Linked DNA regions of Styela clava. The protein of the gene in region 1 interacts with the protein of each later gene in a biochemical or structural test. Links are inferred from orthologs where the notes say so. Each region holds a gene or a part of one and is shown in the gene's direction. Other genes may lie near its edges. The genes, in order: protein arginine N-methyltransferase 5-like, methylosome subunit pICln-like and serine/threonine-protein kinase RIO1-like.

Evidence for each region.
Region 2: the proteins of protein arginine N-methyltransferase 5-like (region 1) and methylosome subunit pICln-like form a complex in vitro, tested with the Homo sapiens proteins (5 studies listed by BioGRID and IntAct, with this or other methods). The link is inferred for Styela clava from reciprocal best matches to the Homo sapiens genes PRMT5 and CLNS1A.
Region 3: the proteins of protein arginine N-methyltransferase 5-like (region 1) and serine/threonine-protein kinase RIO1-like are reported together in a solved structure, tested with the Homo sapiens proteins (2 studies listed by BioGRID, with this or other methods). The link is inferred for Styela clava from reciprocal best matches to the Homo sapiens genes PRMT5 and RIOK1.

What each region holds. Positions count from the first base shown.
Region 1 is NC_135260.1:10,097,108-10,105,592, reverse strand, and holds protein arginine N-methyltransferase 5-like, read left to right. Parts: upstream 1-5,040; 5' UTR 5,041-5,116; coding exon 5,117-7,159; 3' UTR 7,160-7,525; downstream 7,526-8,485. Other genes in the region: protein HID1-like, read left to right, coding at 101-164; uncharacterized protein LOC120347196, read right to left, coding at 8,391-8,485. UniProt on the Homo sapiens protein: Arginine methyltransferase that can both catalyze the formation of omega-N monomethylarginine (MMA) and symmetrical dimethylarginine (sDMA), with a preference for the formation of MMA.
Region 2 is NC_135259.1:18,959,849-18,967,749, reverse strand, and holds methylosome subunit pICln-like, read left to right. Parts: upstream 1-4,854; coding exon 4,855-5,055; intron 5,056-5,907; coding exon 5,908-6,507; 3' UTR 6,508-7,570; downstream 7,571-7,901. Other genes in the region: uncharacterized protein LOC120337104, read right to left, coding at 1-65, 1,112-1,218; dol-P-Man:Man(5)GlcNAc(2)-PP-Dol alpha-1,3-mannosyltransferase-like, read left to right, coding at 2,129-3,415. UniProt on the Homo sapiens protein: Involved in both the assembly of spliceosomal snRNPs and the methylation of Sm proteins.
Region 3 is NC_135264.1:11,771,075-11,779,597, forward strand, and holds the start of serine/threonine-protein kinase RIO1-like, read left to right. Parts: upstream 1-5,073; 5' UTR 5,074-5,267; coding exon 5,268-5,331; intron 5,332-6,506; coding exon 6,507-6,658; intron 6,659-7,243; coding exon 7,244-7,368; intron 7,369-7,903; coding exon 7,904-8,039; intron 8,040-8,523. Other genes in the region: aprataxin-like, read right to left, coding at 1,673-1,929, 2,357-2,511, 2,974-3,302; uncharacterized protein LOC120333828, read left to right, coding at 407-669, 901-1,010; small ribosomal subunit protein uS12-like, read right to left, coding at 3,869-4,420. UniProt on the Homo sapiens protein: Involved in the final steps of cytoplasmic maturation of the 40S ribosomal subunit. Involved in processing of 18S-E pre-rRNA to the mature 18S rRNA. Required for the recycling of NOB1 and PNO1 from the late 40S precursor.

The sequences.
Region 1 (8,485 bases):
GCTAACCCCCTCAATCCCTCCACTGGAAATATTCCCTGATAATTAGTAATACTCCTTTTTATTAAATTTTTTTTATCCTCTTATAAATTTTTTTGTTCAGGAATGTGGATCCACCCGTCTGGTATGACACAGATGTCAAACTTTTTGAAATCCAAAGAATATAGGAAAGTTACAGATGGCAATCATCTACATCTAGGTGCTACCTAATTCCATATTTATCAGTTCCACAGTTCTTCATGAATATCTAATGTTAGTTACACCACTGATTTTCAATATCAAAAGAGATTAAATATTCCTTTTAAATGAGTGTATTCAAAAAGGTGCTTTTGATGCTTTCAGTTGATAAAATAAACTGTAATATCGGAATTGGATCTAAAAAGGCGGCAAAATTTCAATATATGTCAAATAGGATTTGACCAAGGAGATTAAAATTCGACTTTTTTTGGTTCTATTTATTAGTAATTCAATGAATTTGGAACATTTTGATGCCCTCAATATTTAAACTTTTTTTTTCATTTACTTTGAACTCTGTTTATTCATGATACTCATAATCATGTCGTAAATCTGTACAGAAGTATGTTTATGAAAATTGAACATGATGTGGTTGAGCGAAAATCAAAATATTACACATACATTTTTACCCACCACAGTCTACCATTCTTAGAGTTGGAGAGCTCTAATCAACCAAAATTTTGGTTTCAAATGGTTATTCAATGAAATTATTGGAATAGATGGATTTTTTTTTTCGAATCAATTTTTTAGTGATGCTTAATGGTTCGAGTTTGATTAATAAAATTATCATGCTTTCAGAGAGTAAATTCTGAACTGAATAAACTATTTTTCGTACTTTAGTGACAAGTTTTTTTCTATGTATACTGTTATGTAATTGTAATAATTCCATGTAGTTTTAGGCTATTTTTATACTGTCAGGACCAGTGAAGCATATATACCTTGTAAAAGGAAGTGCCAGTTCAAGACATTTATGCTGTCAACACTTTAGGTGAAATATGTCTGATTTTAAACAGATTTCCAACTTTTTTCGTTCGGAGAAATATTGCAAAACATGATTAAGGTGAAAACAAAATCGTTCCTCGTCTTACTATGTGAATATGTCTATCCAAACCTTTCTTTCATACCTTTAATTTCTTCAATATGTTATTCTAGTTTATTTTATTGTTTTAGATTACAAGGTACTAATAATTTTTTTTTTATTTTCCATTTGGTTTTATTGTTTTCTTCACCATGTTCTTAATTTGCTATATTGGGATAATATTAATGAAATAAAGTTTGTTTCTGCAATAAATTTCCTTAGATTTGCTATAATGTATCACAAATGGACAGTTATTGCATGTAATATTATGGATATAGAATACACTTTTTTGGGGATTTATCGGACAAACGTTTATTGCACTTTGTAAGGCTGAAAATCTAATTGTGATTATAGTTTAAGTTTGTCTGGTTTTTTTTATTTAATCAAGATTACTTTATCCTATCATCTATATTTATGTAGGATTGACAATTTATTTTATATCATCGAAGCACTTTCGTTGTACAAACTCTGTCAAATTTTTGATTTATGTCTTACAATTAATGTACTGTACATGTATATAGTATACACAGAAAGTCAACTTTATTATTTTGCACAAGTTTTTCTTTGATGTCTTAATTCATCAACTGTGTCTGCCCAACTTTCAAAGATTTAGGTTTTGCCAATTCCAATGCAACTGTGTATGTTCTAAATTCAAGATGAAATTCATAATTTTCGTTTGAAGCAATGCATATTACATCGCAAGGTCTCATCTCTACTGCTTCTGTCTTTTCTGAGCTGCATATATAGACGGGGTAGCGCAATATAGTTTGCTTATTTATTTTTTTCTTGCAGTGCAATGCTTATATTTCTTTCAATCTAAAACTGCATTCCGGAGAAGTGTTTCCACTTCGCACAGGTCAGCTTATCTATATTCGATGAACAAACTTCTCTCGACTGATCTAAAACAGACCTTATTATCACTCATTGTCAAGTATCGTCTGGTTTCAAGTTTATACCCAGTAGTGCTAATTATGAGAATTTGTGTGGATTGTTGGCATTTTACTGGCTTGGTAGTTAGCCCTAGAATCATTGTTACATTAGTTGCATTGTGCATATTATTCATCATATGTAGTTATTAGGTCTGGTTCATTTTTATGTGACCAGTAAATGTAATTTAGTTATTGTAATTTATCTGTGGAACTTTGGTAGTTTGAAACAAGTAATAAAACTTGAGAGTCTATACATTAATTTGTATTTTATCAACTTAATTGAGCTTTACTTATTAAAGTTTAAGGTATCAGTATCTTTGATACGGCAGTATTATTTTGACACAGTCTGTAAACTACACAGTCTGGTTTTTGAGAAATTTGCGTTAGTTTTCATAGTTCACAGAAACTTAAATGAAAAAATATGGGAGTAAAATGCCTCGTGCTTAATGTGTGCGGATTCAAATCTTGAGTGGGGGAGGATTGCTGAGACCCCTGTTGTCGTGGAGTGTTTCATGTGGCCTATGTTTGGGACGTCAGTTACGGATTGCCTACAACCGCAGTGGTTCTCAAACTTCTTTGTGTTGTGACGCCTTCCGAAAAATATGCTCGAGTTGCGGCTCCCCGTGAAAACGTCTTAATACAATTAAAGACCTTTTTGTAATGAGCTTTATTTAAACAAGCAAACAAAATTTACCGAAAGTCGGTGAAATTGCATTTAATGTGATGGGTGTTCTTGCTTCCTTTCACAATTGTCATTGAGTCTTGGGGTGAATACGCATTTTCCTTTCAACGTTTTCTCGAGAACGATATTTTGCCTTTATTACAGCCATGGTAGCAAAGCCTGCTTCACATGAATATGAAGTCGCGGGGGATGAGAGTGCGCAATGCCTTTTTTTTATCCGCAAGGAAGGATAATCTTTATCCGGGGAAATCCAAAAACTCATAACATTTTCGTGATTAAAATTTCTTTTTATATCGATTCCGTTCACAAAATGGCGAACAAAAGCCGTAATATGTTGTTGTAGCAAGATTTCAGCCAGTGAAACCGGTTACCTAATAAGCCTGAACGGCATGTAGTAAGTACATCGCATCCCCAGTTGCAACAAAAACCACAGCGCTTTTTTACTCGAAACTTGAACGATCCAAAGTCCAAGTAGCTTTCATCATACTTCTTGTTCGGTATCATTTTTACGCTCGTACATTTCTACAGCGATATTTAGACGTTTTCAAACTTTTTTACGCACCGCAAAACAGGTACGATTCCGCAAAAGAAAAAAGTTTTGGGACGCCCTAGCAAAATTGAAACGACGCACTATGAGAACCACGGCCCGACGGGATCGCTGAATAAAATCAACTGCAATTTCCTCAAAAATGAGAATATAAACGCATGAAGAACTAACATTTACACATACCGTAGTCGTAGACTATTACGTGGAATAGTTTATTTCGATTCCATGATCAGCACAATAGACAATAAAATTGTTGATAAAAACTAAGTAAATAAAACTGATTACAGAATCAGGAGAGCAAAAAAAACTTAAGTAAGGTTTAAAATAGGATCCTTCAGGATGTAAATCCTAAGGTTTAAAATAAAAATTGAAACATAAAAGATATTACCTAATAAAAAGAATAATATACAAACAAATTAAAAAAAAATAATTTGCCACACCATGTTAATAATTTTGTAAGAATTGGAAAATAATAAGGAAAATAAGACATTATGTGTTAAGATTTAGCTATTCCATTCAAACTTGAATTTACTTATATTACGGTGGTAATCACCACATAAAGGCATATACGTAAATTTCATATATGCAGGTGTACTTAAATCGAATTACGTTCGGACTCTAGATTTCCACTCCATACACCACCGCACTAGTAGCATGTGGATTGTGCACTTTGCTGGTGCATGCGGGGATATTTTCTTTGATAGCAGGTGGGGTGGAGTTTATGTTTGTATTTACTTCATGTTGATTTGCTAACTGGAAGCATGTAATAGTCTCGATCTGTGTGAGGGTTTAATCTTGGCAACTTGCTTGTAAATTATTGTTCAAAACCTTTTGACTATGGTACTGTAGTATAATTCCAAACATCCATAAGGATTAGTTCCCGCCCTGCTCGATCCGCATTCTTTTCTTTTTTTTTATTAGACAAACAATGTAATACGCATTTATGGATGCTATGGTAGTATGATTCCACGTTAGTTTATAATTAATGAACTCCTGACTTCAAATTTCTACTGATATATTAAATATGAGAATTAGAAACAAGTTAGCTACCGTAGCCTACATGTGTGTCTGTGTGTGGAAAGTGTGCGAATTATTTTGGCATAAATGTCATCGTAGCCTTCCTTCAGACTTCATTTTAAACAGAATACAGGAATAAGAAAACATTATAACAATTTATCTTATGACACACACATAGTCTATTCTGCTATTGTTCTTGCTGCCTTTTCTGGTCTTTCGATTCAATCAGTATTTAAATATCTGAAATTTCACATGATTCGACTTTACTTTTATACCATCCAGTCATCATTAGGGCACAGTTCTTCGATTCCAAGATGTCCCAACATTTGGTTCAATATAACAAGCACTCCCTTTTGGCTCTAAAACAGTTACATCACGCCAAGATTCTCTCGGTAATAATTTAAATCAATCATGACTTGGACGTCTGGTGACCAAAATTATGTTTTTCAGCTAAAAACTCAAATGCTTCGGTAAAATTTTTTTCAATCAGCGAATTAGATTATTTTTTCAAAGTGTATAATTGTTGCGGATAATTGTTTATATGTCAGTATCATGCCTCAAATTGAAACGGTACAAAAAAATATTTTAATAATTTTGATCGTATCTACTCTGGAGTCCTCCTTAACCTTATGTAAATCATCCTTTTATGCCGTTGAAAACTGAACAAAACATACTGGTAGTCATGTTTCATCATTTTTAATCCTGTGTGACCATATATGTGTTTGGTAGTCGTTGGCATTAAAGAAAAAACAAGTTTTTAGAGATTTGGTAAAAGTGTGCTTTACTATTTAAATTTTAGGACCAAAATCAATAATATAACTACTTAAAATTATAGCTTACTATAACCTAAGATGGCCTCAAGAAACCGTGTATCTTGCGGACTAGATATTGAATTTACTGAAGATCTTGAAGAATCTATTGAGAATTCTAGTAGAAATGGCTATGACTTTATATGTGCGAATGTTGTCAGACAAGGCTGCACACCATTTGAAACAGCGAATCTATGTAATAAACTTGGTGGTGTTACAGACACATCATTTTTATTCAATTCACAAGAATGGGCTTCCCTTGTCGTTGGCAAACTTTCTTATTTTCCTGATTTGACATCTGTTGTAACAGAGAAGCGTATTTGTGCGGAAGAAGCTGTGAAACAAGAGCTTCATTTTGTTGCTTTTTTGAGCTTACCTGCGATTATTGTTGAAATCAAGAGCAAAAATTGTTCAAATATTGCCAGAATGATAAACACCTTTTTATATGAAGGTCATCATAATGTCCACATATGGGTTAAAGTCCCTTTACACTCCAGAAATTGTGAGGAGGATACATGGCACTGGTGGAATAAATTTCGAACCTTATGCAGCCATCACAGTAGAATCGGATTAGCATTGGAATTAACTGCAGACTTACCGAGTCAGTTGGAAAGATGGCAAGGTGAACCTATTCGTGTGGTTTATATTCCAACTTCTGTTTTTCTGATGAATCAAAAAGGATTTCCTGTTTTGTCCCGTGCTCATCAGCAATTTGTTAAAAATCTCATGAAGTTGAATTGTCAAATTGTATTGTCTGGTCCTAACTTGAATAATGCAGAAGGAATCCTAGTGTATCATCAATACTTGGATCATTTATTCCAAGGTGCTCAAAATCTAGGAGAATATGAAAAATTTTCAAAAGGTTATGAAGATCATTTGCAAGCACCACTCCAGCCTCTCATGGATAATTTGGAATCGTCAACCTATGAAATCTTTGAAAGAGATCCTATCAAATATAAAAAGTATGAGGAAGCAGTTTATCGTTGCTTGCTTGACCAAATTCCTGATTCCGCAAAAGAACAGCAAACAGCTGTTATCATGGTGCTTGGTGCGGGTCGCGGCCCTCTCGTTAGAATGTCACTCAGAGGTGCTAAAAGAGCTCAAAGAAAAGTTCGTCTTTATGCAGTAGAAAAAAACAGAAATGCTGCTGTACTTTTGCAACATCTGTGCACGACAGAGTGGAAAGACTATGATGTCACTGTAGTTTCATCTGATATGAGGTTTTGGAAGGCTCCTGAGCTAGCTGATATTGTTGTTTCAGAGTTGCTAGGATCATTGGGTGACAATGAATTGTCACCGGAGTGCTTAGACGGGGCAAATCGCTTCCTAAAACCAGATGCAGTCAGTATCCCGCAGTCATACACATCTTACATATCTCCTATCTCATCTCATAAACTTTACAATGAGATAAAAGGTGTGATGGGTCTGGATAAAAATAAGACACCCGAAGCTGCTTTTGAAACTTTGTATGTGGTTCGTATTCATAATTATCATGAACTTACTGAACCAGTTCCGTTGTTCACATTCAATCATCCAAACTGGGATTTGGATAGTCAAAATCCTAAACCAGAGTTCCATGCCGACGTTTCCGCAGAAGTTTGGGACAAGAAGTTCAGCAAAAAAGATGTAAAGGATAAAGAGGACATGGAAACGAATGGGAAAACTGAAGTTAATCAGATTCAAGATAGTCAACACAATCACATTGATCCAACTAAAGCTAACAATCAAATCAAATCAACTCCGACAATGCCAACAAATAGTCACAACACAAGATATCAACAATTTTCTTGCACAATTCCTTTTGACACTATGCTGCATGGATTTGGTGGTTATTTCAGATGCGCATTGTACAAAGATGTTGAAATCAGTATCGAACCGAAAACACATTCACCGGGAATGTTCAGTTGGTTTCCAATTTTCGTTCCCTTGATGAATCCAATCCCTCTTACCGAAGGTTGTACATTACAGACTGATTTTTGGCGTTGTTCCAATGGAAAAAAGGTTTGGTATGAATGGTGTGTCACTTCTCCACAAGCAAGTCAAATACACAACCCAAATGGTAGATCTTATACCATCGGGCTATGATGTAAAATTTTCTAAAAATTCATTTCTTGAAAATGACTGTGATGCTGAAGCATGCTTATTATTATCCAATGACTGAATGATTAATTCTAAACATGTAAAAGTTATGTTTTCATGCCTGTTTAAAATGGGTCTCTCTATACTATTATTATTTTGGATTATATAATTACATGGTCTCCATATAAACATTCAATCATTGCTGTTTTAATTTATGTTCCCAAATCCATAATTTATGTTCCCAAATCCAATCACTTGCCATATACAAGGATGCATGGACCATCGATATTTTATGAAATGCATTATGATTAAAGTGGAAAGCATGTTCCTCATTTATGTTCACTTGTTTGATATTAGAAAATTCATTTCTAACATATGGTTAAATTTGTCTCAAGTGTGTGGGGAAACTGTACAAAGAGTATCTTCCTACCATGTTAATCCATCTTTAGGTGTTGTGAGTTTTAAGATAAATATTTGAAGGCAGTGTCAAATTTAATGACATTAGATTCTCAGCTTCATTGAATTTTTACACTCAAAATTTTTAGGATGTTGCTCAGCAAGGACATGACATAAGATTTCGTGACCTAATGGAGATGGGCAGTACAGTACAGGACCTAAGCACTTTAGACTTTGGTGTCCTAATTGTAAAAAATAATGATAAACTTGTGTTTCATATTATCTGAAATTGAATGATTTTCAGTACAAAGGATGTTTTCACAGAATCAATTTCTTTGTTTATTTCCTTAACAATGACAAATCAGCAACGAGTTAACAATGACGAAACTATTGTAATTTATTCAATCGCTCAGACAGATATGCAGGCATTGTTGTAAACATTTTTTCGTTCCCGTTGTTTTGCGAGATTCTAAGAAAGGTTGTGGTAGAAAAAAGCAGAGATGATTATAAAACCCGCCTGCGTTTACTGCGTGCGTCCCCAGAATGGCTGCAAAACATTAACAAATGGAAAAAATTTGCCAATACATAATTCTTGGCGACATCAGTAACTGAACAAAAACTGACAAATGTTTGCTATTATTTTATTAGGAAATATTCACAAAATGGTAGTTTGGAAATGTCTGTTTTATCGATTGGATGAAATGTTAGTTCAAACACTAGCGAAATATTGCAATAGAATATATATAGTTAAAACATAAATCAATATAAGCATCTCAATATTGCACTGCTATATAGTATATAAACACGGTTTCACTTTACCGCCAAATCTTTTTTATTGATGTTACAAACCGAGGTTAAGGTCGTTCATGTTCACAACGTTTTCTGATATGTATTTAGAAATATCGTTGACATCAAAATCTCCCGCTTCTGGCTCTA
Region 2 (7,901 bases), on another chromosome or scaffold:
TTCGTTTAGCTTCAAAATCGATGTCTCTCATATTCGCGAGACCAGCATCTTCATGTGTGCGTTTCCTGGAAATGAAATCGAATATGTGTGAAATGTGGTCGTACCCTCTTCATACTAGCTCCTTCAAGATAGGAGGACTTGATGGTGGAAGAAGCCGTAACTGACCAGAGTTACATGGAGCACCCAATGCCACATGGAGTCCAGAAATCCTCTTGCACATGCCATCCTTGCATGGGATTCGAATCTGCAAACTCACACAGGGTAATCAGAGATGCACGGGCGTATTCCTAACGCTTAGCATGATGCGCCACACCGCTGAGCCAAGATTTTGGGTTCAACAATTAGCACGACTTACTAAGTGATGGGAACACCCTTGTATTTACTTATGTGAATTCAATTAATAATTTGCGTAAAGGGAAAGGTCCATTTCTTAAATATAGCATATGGTAATAATTAATATTTATTCCAGGACACAAAAAATTCACGCTATGAGTTTTTGATTTCTTTTAACATCTCAATGTTTGCACGTCTATCCAAATTTTTAGTCACTCTGTCAATGCCTGATAGACCTTGCTTCGCCTTTGAGCAAATTTTATTTTTACAAAAACAGCACAGGACACACGTAGTAAGACAATTCGAAGTGGTCTAAATTCCAAACAATGCGAAATGTTAAACTCCCCACCAATAGAACAGTATTTTTCATGTGACTATTCACCGCGCAAAAAAGTTAGTTAGGATAGGATAGGATAGGATTTACATATTTATCCCGGGGGAGAGGAAAGCCGATAAGACGGCTTATCCATATGGCGAACCACGGCCTCTCGTCCGGTTACCATTCCAAGTCGGGTATGGGATTATTTATATATTGTTTGTTTCCGGAAGCATGGACTTGGTGGTGGAGGAAGCCGTAACCGACCAGCGGTTACGTGAACCACCCAACGACGGCGAGGAGTCCAGCAATCCTCTCGCACATAACCATCCCTGCATGGGATTCGAACCTGCGAACCCACGCAGAGTAATTAGAGGTGCGGTGGCGAGCGTATTCCTAACGCTTAGCCCGTTGAGCCACACCGCCGCGCCGTTAAGATTGTTAAGTAGTTAAGATTGCAACCTGTCTCTTGTTGGTGACTTTGAACTTTGCCTCCCGGTAGACGATGACTTCGGTACATATTTACTTGTTGATGAGGACGACCATGATGTGTAAGGACGTCGATCCATCTCGTAAAGTTCGGTAGGGATAAATCCTCACAGGGCGAACAGAAGATTCCTCGATGTTGCGAAGACAGATGCAATTTGCAAAAAACAAAATGATGTGAATAATTCGTTGCCATCTTTTACGCTTGAATTTTATGATGATTCAGATTTCCATTAAAAAATATTTTCAAATATGATGAGGCTTCAATATATGTAAAAAAAATAATGCACACTTTCACCAAAAATCACTAAGAATATGTGCCTATTTTAAAGTTTTCGAAATTAATTAATTGAAAAAATTAGTAATAGCTGATAAAATGTGGCAACATTTTAGACCAATTATTTTGCAGCTTACTAGCGACATCTGGAGGATGTATTTTATATTAAATAAACTGGTGGTGAATGGAGTCTATTTTACCACAACTGTGTTTTTAAATATGATTTTAATCCTTTTCTAATAAAACGTAAAGATATAATGGAAGTCTACAATTAGGAAAAAAATTGTCATCAAATAAATAAGCAGATATTTAAACTCACAATCGAGAGTTTATGAGACGGGGAGAGAGAGAGAGGGATAGTTTAGAGTCAGATTAATTGAACTCGACACCGGATAGGTTTATTTTAATTACTGCAGTATTTTTTTCTCGATTTCTGATATGCCTGTAAGCCTCACAAAAGTTTTAAATTATTGTTACATTATATCCTATGTAAGTTTAACCAATTTCAAAACTGAAGAAGTTTTTTAGAAATTTACAAGGAAATATTTGAAAATAGTAACTCCGTCCACATTTTTCAAAAGAGAGTGCGCAACATGTGGATTTCGCACGCACTTCGTTTCGTGGACGTTCTGCAATCTCAAAAATCGAGATCTTAGTTCTGGGTTTGTTGTTTTTCAACTTTTTGACAAATTGTAGCGCAGTTTTGCACTTGAAACATGCCTGCATTGCAAAAGAGAAAGCAGAAAAAGCTCTCCTTGTTTTCTAAATTGAAAACGAACATTGAATACTTGTGGGACTTTGCATTTAAACTTCTGACGGATCCGGCGTACACATGGAAATTATGCTGTCTTCTCATTATTGGAGAAATCATTTTAAATATACTGGTTGTACACTTTGTGAAATACACAGAAATTGACTGGGTTGCGTATATGCAGGAGGTCGAGGGCTTCATCAACGGAACACGGGATTATACGGAACTAAAAGGAGACACCGGGCCGCTTGTTTACCCCGCTGCTTTTGTTTACATATACTCTGCTCTTTATTACCTAACATCACAAGGAACAAACATAAAAGTAGCACAGTATATTTTCTGTTTGTTTTATGTTATTAATTTAGCTCTTGTGGTTAGGATTTACGAAAAAACTAGGCAATGTCCTCCCTATGTTTTTATTTTTATGTGTATGACTTCTTACAGAATTCATTCAATTTTTGTGTTGAGGCTTTTCAATGACCCAGTGGCTATGATGATATTTTATGCCTCAGTGAATTTATTTCTGTCAAAACAATGGAGTATAGGTTGCATATTTTACAGTCTCGCCGTCGGGGTAAAAATGAACATTTTTCTTTTTGCACCTGCATTGTTGGTGATCCTATTAATCGAAAATGGAATTTTAAAAACAATTGGACATTTATTTGTATGTTTACTCACCCAAATAGTTATAGCGATTCCATTTTTACTTGAAAATTCAGTCGGCTACGTTAAAAAATCTTTCGAGTTCAGTCGTCAGTTTTTCTATATTTGGACTGTAAATTGGAGGCTCGTACCGGAGGAAATATTTCTAAACAAGCAATTCCAGTTATGCCTGCTCTTGTTACATTTATCAATTCTTGTGCTGTTTGCAATATTTAAATGGAGAAACGGAATCAAGCAATTGTTTTCCTTAATTAATCCTTTCACGAACTGGGAAGCTAATTTGCCAAAAATATCTCCAACAAAAATGGTTCAGATTTTATTTGTGAGCAATTTCATCGGTATGTGCTTTAGTCGATCATTACATTACCAGTTCTATGTTTGGTATTATCATACTTTACCCTTTTTATTATGGAATATAAAAATTCACTCGACAGCTAGATTGCTAATATTTGGTCTAATTGAACTTAGTTGGAATACTTATCCTTCCACAGTGTTTAGTTCTTCTCTCCTTCATGTAATGCATTTATTGATGCTTATAGGTTTGTTCCTAAGTCCTGATGAGATTAATTCAAAGTCTAAAAAAACATAGAGCAATGGTTCTCAAACGTTTCAGCCCCGTTCCCCTTTCTAGAATTTGTCAAGTCTCGCACCCCAACACAAAAAATATCACGGAAGCTAGCAATAAGCTACAAATAACAGATAGTAAAGCAAAAGTATGTAAAGTAAAGTATTTATTCAAAAAAACATGTTCAAAATAAGACTGGCACTATCACATCTATTTTTGATTAGCTTTTATGCCCTCTCATAAAATTGTCTATACCCCTTGTGGGGCGCGCTCCACCTTCTGGGAATCACTGTCATAGAGATAGTTCCTAAACTGAAGTTCTAATAGCACCCTTATATATTGCTTTTTGGCTTGTAAATGCACATTGAAATCTCATTGTACTACAGGCGATTAGTGTCTGTACATACAGTGTTTTCCTGGAAATAAGAAGACAGGGGCGTATTTCAATTTTCCTCCAAAATTAACACTTGGGCTTATTTTTGGTGGTTTTGGTATTTTTCATTTATCAATAAGGGGAGGGCTTATAATAAAATTTCAAAATGTAAATTTTTTAAAATCAGGCTAGGTCTTATTTTCGATAAAACACAGTGATTACACTAAGACTATAGGATCACCTCAAGAGTGGATCAAACTCTAAAAAGCAATTAGCCAAGTAAATATATCAAACACATTTTCCTGGTTGATAGACCAGATATCCTTTTCCACTGGTGTGGATTTCATGTTGTCTCCGCATTATCCAGGATACAAAAAAAATCCTGTTGACACTAAAGACTCCCATTCAAATTAATATCTTTTAAGAGTCCTTGTTCAGGAATTTTAGGTCTATTTCCTTGTTATAATATGTGATTTATTATCGTCACTCAAGTACAAATTGTTTGAAATTTTTAGGGGATGTAACTTGAGCTAGTTTCATTTAGTATTAATGAAATATTTTCCTTCTACTTGTGTGTGTGTAATGCAATCATTTGAACCTTGCTATAATTTATTTTTTTAATGCAGTTGTATCTAATGCCTAATAGTCATTTTTAATGAGTTGGAAAATTTTTTGTACTTTTTCTATAATTATATGTTGGATTGCATGGAGAAATATTCTATAAAAATGCCATTGCATGTTGCATGGACTGTTTGACATTTATACTATCCTTTAATAAAGCTGATGTTATGCTTTGCTGGTGTACCCTGTGCTAATTGCTTGTATTCTACTAAATGCATTTGTGATCTTGGTCAAGTCCATGCATCTGGAAGAAAATCTAGTTAATTATTTTCATACCCGGCCTGAAATGATAACTAGATGAGCGAGTTTGCTTTGCCATATGATTAAGCCCTTTTTCACTTTCCACCCGCCCCCAGTATAAAATGTTATAAAAACCTCTCCTAGTAGCAAAAAACTTTGATGAGAATCGTGGTATAATGTATTTTGAATAAAATCTATTATTTGAATCATAGTTTATGCCAGATACAAAATGTTGCCTCGAGTTGTCACGCCTGATACAGGAATTCAACATACGGAACAAAATTGCAGAATCAACATAAACTCTGATGACAGAGGAAGTGGAACGTTGTATATTTCAGAAGAAAGATTGATCTGGGAGAATCAGGAGCATCGTGGACTGTCACTCGGTTATAAAGATATCGCAATACATGCCGTCTCTAAAGATTTACAGGTATTCAGTTGTACGCTTGGTATTCAATGAACTGTGGTTGCCATGGTTACCCCGCCTGCCTGTCTAGAGTTGTTTTCTTCCATTAACAAGAGTGACACTGGGGTAATGGGTCACCTAAATGTATCTTCAGAGTCTGAATTCCTTATAGGTGACGGTGCTTGATAACCATCACTGGTTATTGTGCTCCCTGCATACTGAAATTCATTTTTTTATCTGTCATAGTTATAATGTACAATGTGTACTTTCGACATGTGATAAAATAAACTACTGACTGACTGTATAATAGCTGTCATATCTTTAGAATATTTTATACCTTGGCTGTGAGAAAGTCCACAGACAACTAGTTGATCAGATATAAGGTTTGGCACGGTTTATGACAACCAAGACTGCGGCGTCTGAGAAATCCACAATTGCCAGTGACTAGTCGATTCTAGATTAAATGCGACTCTGGGTTAATAAAAATTTAGACCTTAGGCTTCAGCTACGAACTCTGTGAAACAGGACTACTAATCAATACAATTTGCGGAATTCGTCTTTCAGGTGTAATGTAATCATGTTATAATTTGGCTTTGTACATTTCTGCCATCATACTACTGGGTGTTAAAAAAGTAACGCAAAATAAACAGAAGTTTGGATGAAATGCTACTTGGTACGTTTAACGACTGATATCTTTCAAAAGTATTGAATTATGGTGAAATGCCATTTAAACATTTCACGTCTGATGCTTTTTAACAGTTACTTTTTTAACGCTGCCATGCCGAAAAATCTTTTTTAACACCCTGTATTTTCCATACCTTGAAGGTTATGGTTTTAGATATAATTTATTCAGTGTATAATCTTGTGATTTTCCAGGCATTTCCTGAAGAATGTCTTTACGTAATGTTCAATGGTGAGATTTGTGAACCGGTTGTCAATGGCAACGGACAGACAGAAGAGTACGATTGTGCAGATAACGAGTTTGCTGCTGACACAAGTGGTACAATATCAGAGATCAGATTTATACCAGTATGTAAAGACAATTTAAAACGAATGTTCGATGCAATGAGCGACTGCCAATGTCTCCATCCGGACAGTGAGGATAGCGATGACTATTATGGAGGAGATGGTGACAGTGAGGAGCAAAACTATGAAGGGGCTATGTACCCCCCTACTGTTTACAATGGCGGTGCGGGGGAAGGATTTTATACTTCTGAAGAAGGCTTACAACATTTAACGCCTGCAGGGCAAGCAACATTAGCAAGACTAGAGAATATGTTAGCAGATTCACAAATTTCTGAACCTGAGGGGATTTCCCAAATGGAAGGGGTTCAGATTGAGGAGGAGGGCCCCATGAACACTGATGAGCCTCCTGTGGTAGGAAGGCCCCCTGTTGTCGATGACAACCCGCAGCAAGGTGCCCCTATTCTTCCTTCAGTGGAAGGACAATTTGATGATGCCGAAGACACTCATTGATCTGCTCAATGCCAGGTTTCTGATGTCTGTCGTGGTTGCGGAGCAGGAAAAGTTTACAATCAACGCTGCGGGTTGAAAAAATAACAATTTTCTCTAAGATTGTAAATAATTTTGACTCCAGTTTCTAACTTGGAGAAAAATTAATATTAATTGGTATTATGCAAGTCTCCTCCAATAGATACTCAATAGACCTAATACTCTTGGATTTTAATGGAAAAATTTGACTTATCATCGTCATTGAGTGGGTAAAATTACAGGGAAAACATCCCAAGCTCTGACCTCCTACTCTGCAGCTTAGGTTATTACCACCAAGACTGAGTTGAGAACAATTGCATATCTTATTTGTTACTTGGTTCAATTAAGACAGGGGTTTTATTAATTAAACCTTTGTTCTCTCATTTACTTTTTTCACAAATTTCGAAGTTAAAATTTACCTCTTCACGACTCCACTCTTTATGGATGTTCATGGAGTCCCTTTACAATTTTAATTTTGGTATGAAGTCAGTTCTTAACCAGGTTTGTTGTTTTTTTTTATCAGTCAATTTTCAAGTATTTTTACTTCATTTAATAATACATGGGCCGGAACAATATGTGGTATTGATAAATTCCCTTCCAACTTCGAAAGTCTTTAAAACTTGATGGACACCCCATACTTCTACACATATCTATAAGGACTCAATTTTAAAGTAAATAGTGCACATAGGCTTTTTGAATTGAATGTGTTCACATTACTATATTTCAATCGTATATCAATTTAACCCTCCTGTATTAATAAAGGTTGCAAACACCTAGTTTAACACTCTGATTCAAATATATCAATCAAAATCTAAAATATCAAACAACTCAGCAATCTTTGTGATTGAAACAACACCTGATGTTTTTAATTGCTTAATCGTGATCCGCATGTTTATCACGTCTCCCTTCACACTGAAATGCATTTTTGTTCTTAATTATGTTTGTACAATGTGTACTTTCGGCATGTAATAAAATGAACAAGACTGATATATTCCTTTCCCATCTCATTTACCTTTATTATATTCTTTTCTAAGCAATAAACTTTTTCCACTGCATGTCGTGTCACTCACAGTGGTGGTTAGAGATAACCGTCCCCGAACAAACTTAAAAAAAGTTCAGCTTAGTTGTTTCCGCATTATTACTTATCGATAAGTATGTTGATAGATATTTGTCTGTCTGTCTGTTAGATGCATGCGATATCTCACAAAAGCAAAGTTGAATCTGCTCCAAATTTTGCATGTGCATTCATCATATCTCAGACCAGAAGCCTATTGATTTTGGACGAATTATGTCGTATAATTAGCGAGTTTTAATAATTAATTAGTGATGAGACACGAGGTGTCACTATGGAGTAAGAGCGCTGTTTCGGGGGATCCCCT
Region 3 (8,523 bases), on another chromosome or scaffold:
ACTAAAATGTTACTATTGGCGGAAAAACGGACATTCTAGATCGAGGTGGGCACGATTTTTAGATCAGGGAACAAAAATTTTGCCCACCGAGACTGGCGGGCCATGTAAGTATGACGTAAAGAGTTACATTTTATGAACAATGTTCACAGTGTTACAAAAGCAACAGTGGAAAACAATGAACCACGTGCCAAAATTTATCCGCAATCTTAACAAATCCCTTGACCTATTTTTAACTAAATCATCAAAATTTGGTTCCAGTTAAGTTGTGGCAGCATCAGGCGGGCCAGATTGAATTACCCAGTTGGCCGGATTTGACCCGCGAGTCGTAATCTGCACATGTCTGTTCTAGATACTAAAATTTTCATGTGAATATAGCCATTATGCATCTCATTTATTATTTATACAGAAAAAGAGGAAGCAGGCTTGAATCAGAAATCACAAAAGAGACGGAAGATGTTGAAATGCAAGAAATGTCTCCTCTGAACCAAGAGAACAAAAGCACAGAAGATTGCGAAGATGGTTTTCCAAATACAAACAGAAGTCCCAATGAAGATGAAAACATTTTGGAAAATATTGCTAATGAAAAGAATACATCGAATGCTTCCAGTGAATGTGGATCAGTTTTTGACTCAGACAATATTGATCAAATTGGAATAGAATTAGAAATAGGTGAGTATATACAATAAAAATGTTAATAAAAGATACAAAAATTAAACATATAAATACTAGTCTGTCTGTATTTGAACATATTATACTTGAGTCGCGAGATTTTACTAAATCTATTTTTTTGAAAATTTGGGTCGCTTGAAAAAAAAGGTTGGAAACTTATATATCAACATTTATTTATTCTTTTATTCTTCTGTATTGCAATGTATAATTGACAAACCATTCGAATTTCAGGGTCCTTGCAGAACGAAAGAATGGGCAGCTCACAATATAAAAACGTCAGTGACACGGCATCAATGGGTAATGATACAAGTTACCATGACGATATGGATACAGCATTGTGATTAATTAAATATTAGAAAATGTATGAAACAGTAGTGAAAACCTGAAAATGACATCATAGACACAAAATCAAGTCATGATGTATTGAATATTTAGGATTAAACTTGGTTTAGAGACAATGTTTTAATTATAAGTCGAATTATATATATAAGTTTCAATATGAGCTATGATGAGAGAGTGTCTGTAAAATTCCACCACTCAAAAACACACCCATAAATTCCTCTCAAAACTCCTCATTCAACTGGGTTAATATGTTAAATTTTGTCAGAGTTCAAATAATTCATGGTTGAAAATTTCTGCAAGGAAATTTCCTAACAACGATGAGAAGATGATTCAGAGGGGGTTTCAGCAGAAAGATGATTCACTTTTATCTCGAGAGCGAGTGTGTTAGACTTCACTTTGAGCAAATTCTTTTGAAAATTGGTATACAGACAAAGTTTTCTTGCTTATATAAGTTGTAATATATTTCTCATCAATTTTTCATAGATTAGCTGTGTTTTCTGCGTTTATGCTAATTTTCAGTTTTGTGGAGCAGCCTCCAGTACCCTGTGTATTTTGTACACAGTGTGACAGAGTATTGAATAGAAATCTGCAATGGATTTTTACCATATGCAAATTATGAATTCAGACTTTAGTTCGCAATATAATATTAGCATCAACATACCTTTGGATATTTATCTTTGATGACAACAACTTTATCATCTTTGGAAACTCTCAAACTAGGATCATCCATTGATCCTTTCAAACCTTGACTCCAATGATAGGAAGGTTTTTGTGCTGAATTATTTTTATTATTTGAATTTGTTTCGTTTTCTTCATCGGAAATATTTTTCGCTACTTTTTCAGTCATTTTTTGTCGTTTGCTGAATGTGTTTTCCTCCTGAGGTAGTTTTGTTTTCTTGGTATTGGAAGATGTAGTTCCTGAATAAATATTATAGAACATAAGAGTTTCGATGTGGTTTCTTTGAAATTATTGGAGAAATAAATTTACATTGGGATATGAGTACAGGTCACTGTTTTTGGGACAAGAATTGTTTTTCGTCATTATCACGGTAAACTCTGGATAAATCAATATCAAAAACCTACATTAATCGAATATTATGATTTCCTAAACAGCGTTAGTTATTTAAAATTCTACTACTATTTGCGTAAACACTTTTTTTGCGCTCATCAAGGTACTGTCTTTTACCCAACATTTTTCTAAATTTAAAAAAATTCCATCCTCACCCCATATTTTCAGCAATCTAGTTTATTGAACAACGTATGCTACTGGTAAAACCTTCATGTCCTTATAATAGTGCATTTCTCTCTAATAATAATAAATTCACTATATGATAGAAAATGAAACCTGAATTAGGGATACATATAGCAATCTTGTGAGGATATTTCATATCAACGACGTGTAACGTTTGTCCTGCATGAAGTCTGTCAGTTTTTCTATGTCCGATATCAATCCCTTCTATCTGAGATGCATTACTGCCAAGTTGCTTGACCATAACATATCTAATGTTCAAAAATAACAAATTTAGTGATGCCAATAAAATCACTCTAGAAAAGTGGTTTTCAAGACAACATTTTAAATAATTAAACATATTTTAAAAACGTCTTATAAAGTCTCAATAAACATTGATCATATACTTGACACATTTTCAACAGAAATATTTTTACAAACCAATTTGACAGGGCAAGAAAACACAATAGCGGACAATCTATATTTGAAACAAGTTAGAATCAAATGTTTCCGTCTAAATGACCATTTTTCAAATAAGCATATATTCCAAATATAAATCTATAGGTACCTCAAAAATACCTGTATGGCCTGATACAGATTTCATAAACATTGGCAAATAAAAAAGTCTCTTTATACACAAAAGAAAGTATATTCAAATAACGTCAATAATAATTTCACAAAACATAAATATATCAGTATCTATAACAGCAAAAATATAACACATTCCTACCTACTTTTGATTGTAATTTGCAACCAATTCCAACTGATTTCTTGAACACAATTTATCAGGTATTTTAGTCTCTGCTGATCTCCCAACGATGACTGGCGAACCGTCTGGTAGAAGTATCGGAGCATGTGTTGAATTGCAACATTGAAAATACATTGAGAAAGATAGAGATAAAGCAATGTGGTAATTCCTATTAAAAAAAATAAGAAGTTCCAACTTGAAATGCATTTGCAAATAGTAAATCTCAAAACAACAAATTTCATATCTTTGTATTTTAGATTTTGACATTGTAAAGAGCATTTTGAACCATATAGAATAGATAGAACAAAACAGCATCAATCACAACTTAGGTAAGGAAGTTATTCGGTAAAATTCAATTGAAAAAGTGATGAATTTTTGCACGGCTCTATATGAAAAGATTTTGTGTGAAATGGCAGGAATTATGTTTTATATTATTAAATCTTTATATTGAAAAATTTAGACAAAGTTTGTTCAACTCACAAAAAAACTTTGTGAGTTGAATAAAACATTGGCGGCATTAGAAGTTTATTAACATATACTTTAAGACTAGTAAAGCCTTGTGAAAATGGAACATCACATACGTTGAACGACAAAATCCTTAAGAGTTAAATAGGCTAGCTGTTCTTTTACGAGAGATTTTTTTAAGTAAAACATTTCTTTACTACAGTATGAAAGATTCATAAATATGTCAGAATTTAAACCATTACAAACATTTTGAGGCCATTGTTAAGTATTATTTATTGTCACAAAATATAAATTCCAAGCTATCTAACGCTCTCATATAATCCTACGGTAATTTTTATTTTCATATTTTGTGAGGAGCTCAATTGTTTCAAATTGTCTGTCATACTTTAGTATTTGCGAGTATTTTATAGCAAAAATTAGTCTTGTTCTTTCTTAACAACATGAGCACAATCAAGTGCTCCTCTAATAACTTTATGGTGAACTCCGACTAAATCCTTACGTCCTTTTCCTTCGATGAGAACAACGTTATTTTCTTGTAAATTATGTCCTTCGCCGGGTATATAAGCAATGATTTCTTTTCCGGTACTTAACCGTACTTTGCAACATTTTCTATTCGCACTGTTTGGTTTTTTCGGCTTTTTAATTAAAAGTCTTAAAACAACGCCTTTTATTTGTGGCTTTCCATCCATTCTTGATTTTTTCTTTTTCTTGGCTATTATGTCCAACATTTTTCCTGTTTTCATGTATAAATCAGCATGATAAAAGTTTCGATATCTGCCTTCCCATTTGAAATCAATTGCAGATGAGTGGAAGTCCTTAGAAGGCTGAGTTAAGAAGGTGGTTAATACAGCTTGGCTTTGATTCACCAGTAAACCATTGTATGTGTTTGTTAGGCAAGTATTATTCACTTGATGAAGACATCCAGTGAGCAATGTATTTTTCAATCTGATCAAGTTTTTGAACGCCATAAGTTGGCAAGTTCAGAAGTTAGATTTTCATGTAAATTAAGACTTGAAAACTATTTGAAATAAATATAATCATTTGTTTCCAGATGCAGTGAGAAAGCATGATGAACACTGACTAGCTACGGTATAGATTTTGCGTAAATAGTAATTGATCCCAATTTCTTTTTTTTTTAATTTGCAGCTGCGCGAAACTCCCAGAAACACTTTTGAACAAGAGACTTTTTCACCTTTGTGGTGCAACATACTGTTATAAGCCTACTCCAAATGTACAAAATTTTTACATATCTATGTTTGGTGTTGTACAGATGTATGAATGTGATGTAGGTAACCGAAGTCTGTAAGCTGGTACGTACCCAAGGCCAAGTGAGTGTCGGGTCTACAAAAATAAATCTCTCTCTTTCTCGATTTGTCAAAAAATACTTTATTACACAATAAACTTAAACATCATGCTATCAATATCAACAAAACATATTCACACCATCCTCCAAGACCAAACCAAAAATTAGCTGCACGAGACAAACAAATGATGAAAAGATTTCACTTCGTACTGCGCGCTTGTCATCAGTGACCAAAAATCGTGATTTGTAATTCACGATTCTTTACTGTCATCTTGCGTATGAGTAAAAGTCTGGTGTTTCAGAGAATTAAATATTGCACAACATGTGCAAAAGAAAACACGCGACTGAAAAACGCTGGTGCAGCAGGCTATTTCAATATTTGTATATAGGCTATTATATTGTATTCTGATCGTTTTCATTCTACACATCTGATATTCAGTTAGGCAGCGTCAAATTGTTTTAGAAAAGAATCCTTGTTGTTGTTGGCCAACCCTTTAGTACAGTATTACGGTATGGAGGGGCAGTTTGATGATTTGGACCAGGCGGAGGAATATTTGCAAATGATGACAAAAACTAGTAAGTTCATTCATCTTTTTTGCATTCAGTCATAATAATAAATAAGTATCATAATCTAAGTCGCTGGTATCACGTAAAGCTAGTAAAGTGAATTTTTCTATATTTTTCATTGTAACTTTTATTAGGATAGGATAGGATTTACATATTTATCCCGGGGGAGAGGAAAGCCGATAAGACGGCTTATCCACATGGCGAACCACGGCCTCTCGTCCGGTTAGCATTCCAAGTCGGGTATGGGATTAGTTTTAATGTATTTTATTTTATTTTTTTCGGAAGCATGGACTTGGTGGTGGAGGAAGCCGTAACCGACCAGCGGTTACGTGAACCACCCAACGACGGCGAGGAGTCCAGCAATCCTCTCGCACATAACCATCCCTGCATGGGATTCGAACCTGCGAACCCACGCAGAGTAATTAGAGGTGCGGTGGCGAGCGTATTCCTAACGCTTAGCCCGTTGAGCCACACCGCTGCGCCAATTATTATTTCAGTATTTCTATTTTTACTCATCATCATCTTTCTGTTATTACGGTACTCTATTATTGTTTTTTTTTCCTTCGCTGTTTCATTCACATTCTTCAATGACTGTTTTGTAATCTACCCCAAATTCAGAAATTTTAACATTTCAATCAGCAAGTTGATTCACATACAAGAGTACAATGTGTTATAATCAAATTAAAATGAGCAATAGCTAGAATAGTCTTATCAATTTTTGTCATAATACTAGTAATAATACTGCACTTTGAAAAACATTGTTTTACATTATGTTTTTGTCCATGCATCTGAAACAAATATGACTGGCTAACTAATACCATACCTACCTGACATGGACCTGTAGCTGGCTGAGCGGCCGTGGTTTGCCATATGATTAATCCAGGATGATTATGTAAATCCTATCCTCTCTTTGACATACTATTTCAATTTGAGCCGACTCTACATCATTCTTGTGTAGATCAGTTGAGTAATGTATAGAACTTTCTCATAAACAACATTTTGTCGTTTGTCTATCAGCAGTCAAGATATGTCATTTTGGAGATTGTTGGATTTTTGTGTATTTTCAATGTGTGTCTTTTAACCGCGTTTGAAAATTACCATATCGGTGTGTCACCATGTATGAAGCCCATTATTTTATTGCGTCTCTTATACAATTAACTATTTATGTAATGCTTTATTTTAAGATCCTATTCAAGAAGGATGTATCGATTCAAATACAAACATAGCAGATGATGATGACAATTGGAGTGATGATAACTATATGGAAATGGATGAAATATATACAGAAAATTGCAGAGGAAACGGCGCCAAGTATTCCTCCAACCAATCTTATCAAGTAGGATGTGATCATTTATTATTTTGCCACAAGCACATGTATAGCTTCAGGAAGAGATCATTTGAATGGCGATTCACTGAATGTCTGAGGGACAGGCTTATTAATTTCAGTTATTTCTCTAACTATATTGGTTTAAATCTGACGATGTCCAAGTCGAATTGAATATTCCAATTAATTTGAAATAAATGATATTTAAAATTTTATTTTTAGAGAATAATAATTTTATTTTGGGAATATTATAGGCCTAGTTAGTTTTATCTGAAAACCCATCATTTTGAGCAATTGAAATATTATAGTATGACCAAAAAGACATTGAATTTTTTGAATTCTACAACAAAAAACGTAGAACCACTAAAATCACTGTTTATCTTAACCCTTCTGTATTTTCAAATTTAAACTCATTTGAATATCCATTAACTTCGAAAGTAGAGGACCCAATTAACGTCAATATTCCAAATTCGAAAATATTATATCAGAATGTATTCAGGATAGTGAATTTTCGAATTTTGGCCATCCCTCTTTAGAACCAATAGTTGAAATAAAATAGAGTGCTCAGCAAAGTATAAACTTCTTGTTGTTTTTTAGCCTGTGGATAAAATGTTATCAAAATTTTCTGACAAGATTCATCTTGATGCATATGAGCATCCTAGTATTCCGCAACATAATCTCGCACAAGTTCGACAAATGGATAAAAGAATGGTTGAAAACAAGTAAATTTATTCAAAAACTTTCTCTCATTCTCATATCTTATTCCTTTTAAATCAAAGAACTGGGAGGTGCCTGGAAGATTTAAATTTAATGTTCTTTCAAAATGATCAATTTTCAGGAATTCCATTAATTAATATTATTAACTAATATTATTAATTAATATTAATTCACTAATTTTTCAGTGAAATAGTGAGTTTTGTTGAAAACTATTGAATACCATGGTGATGCTGTAACATAACTTTGCTTTCATGAATCATGACCCCCTTTCAAAGACTACAATGTGGCCCTTTTTTCTATAAAAATACCTTTATTTAATGTGCTTCTATCATTTGTTTTATGCGCCATGGTAGGTAATAAAAAAAATTGTTTTTGGGAAGTAAGGCGTCATGTGGTACTTGGTTTGATTCTTAATAACAGTGTATGTGATTTTTTTCTTTTAGCAAATATTGGATAATCAATATCAAAATGTTATGTTGAATCACCAATTTTCACCAATACCAATTTTCAAGTTTATTTACTGCAACCAATAATTTTCAGAAATCGAGTAAAAGACAAATCGGATCGAGCAACTATTGAACAAGTCATGGATCCAAGAACTCGAATCATACTTTTCAAAATGCTGAGTCGTGGCGTCATTAAACAGATCAATGGTGTAATAAGCACTGGGAAAGAGGTGATGAATTTATGTACATTTAATTATGGAATTTTTCTTTTGACGTTCAACATAATGCAAGATTTTAGCTCTCGTAGTTTCATAATATATTTCCTGAATTTTTATAGTTTTGTAATATTTTGAGAGGTGCACGTAAATTTACGCACGCACATTTTATATGGCATTTGCTTCAAGCTGTGAATTTTACCTGTTTAAATATTTCTATTCCAGGAAGAAGTTGGGGATTTCCCATATATAATTATTAATTAGATCGTTTCTGGAATTCTGCCTCAAAATGGAGTTCTAAAATAATCTATTTGATTCTATCTCACAACAAAATCATGATAAACACTGAATAACTCAATCAAGATTTTAATGTAGAATTAGTAAATCGGGTCTGTCTATTGACTAAATTTGTGTCGGACATTCCTAGTAAGAATACTCAAATTCATTTGCATTGTATATCCCGAAAATTTTATTTTGCTGTAACATTTGCTATTATTAT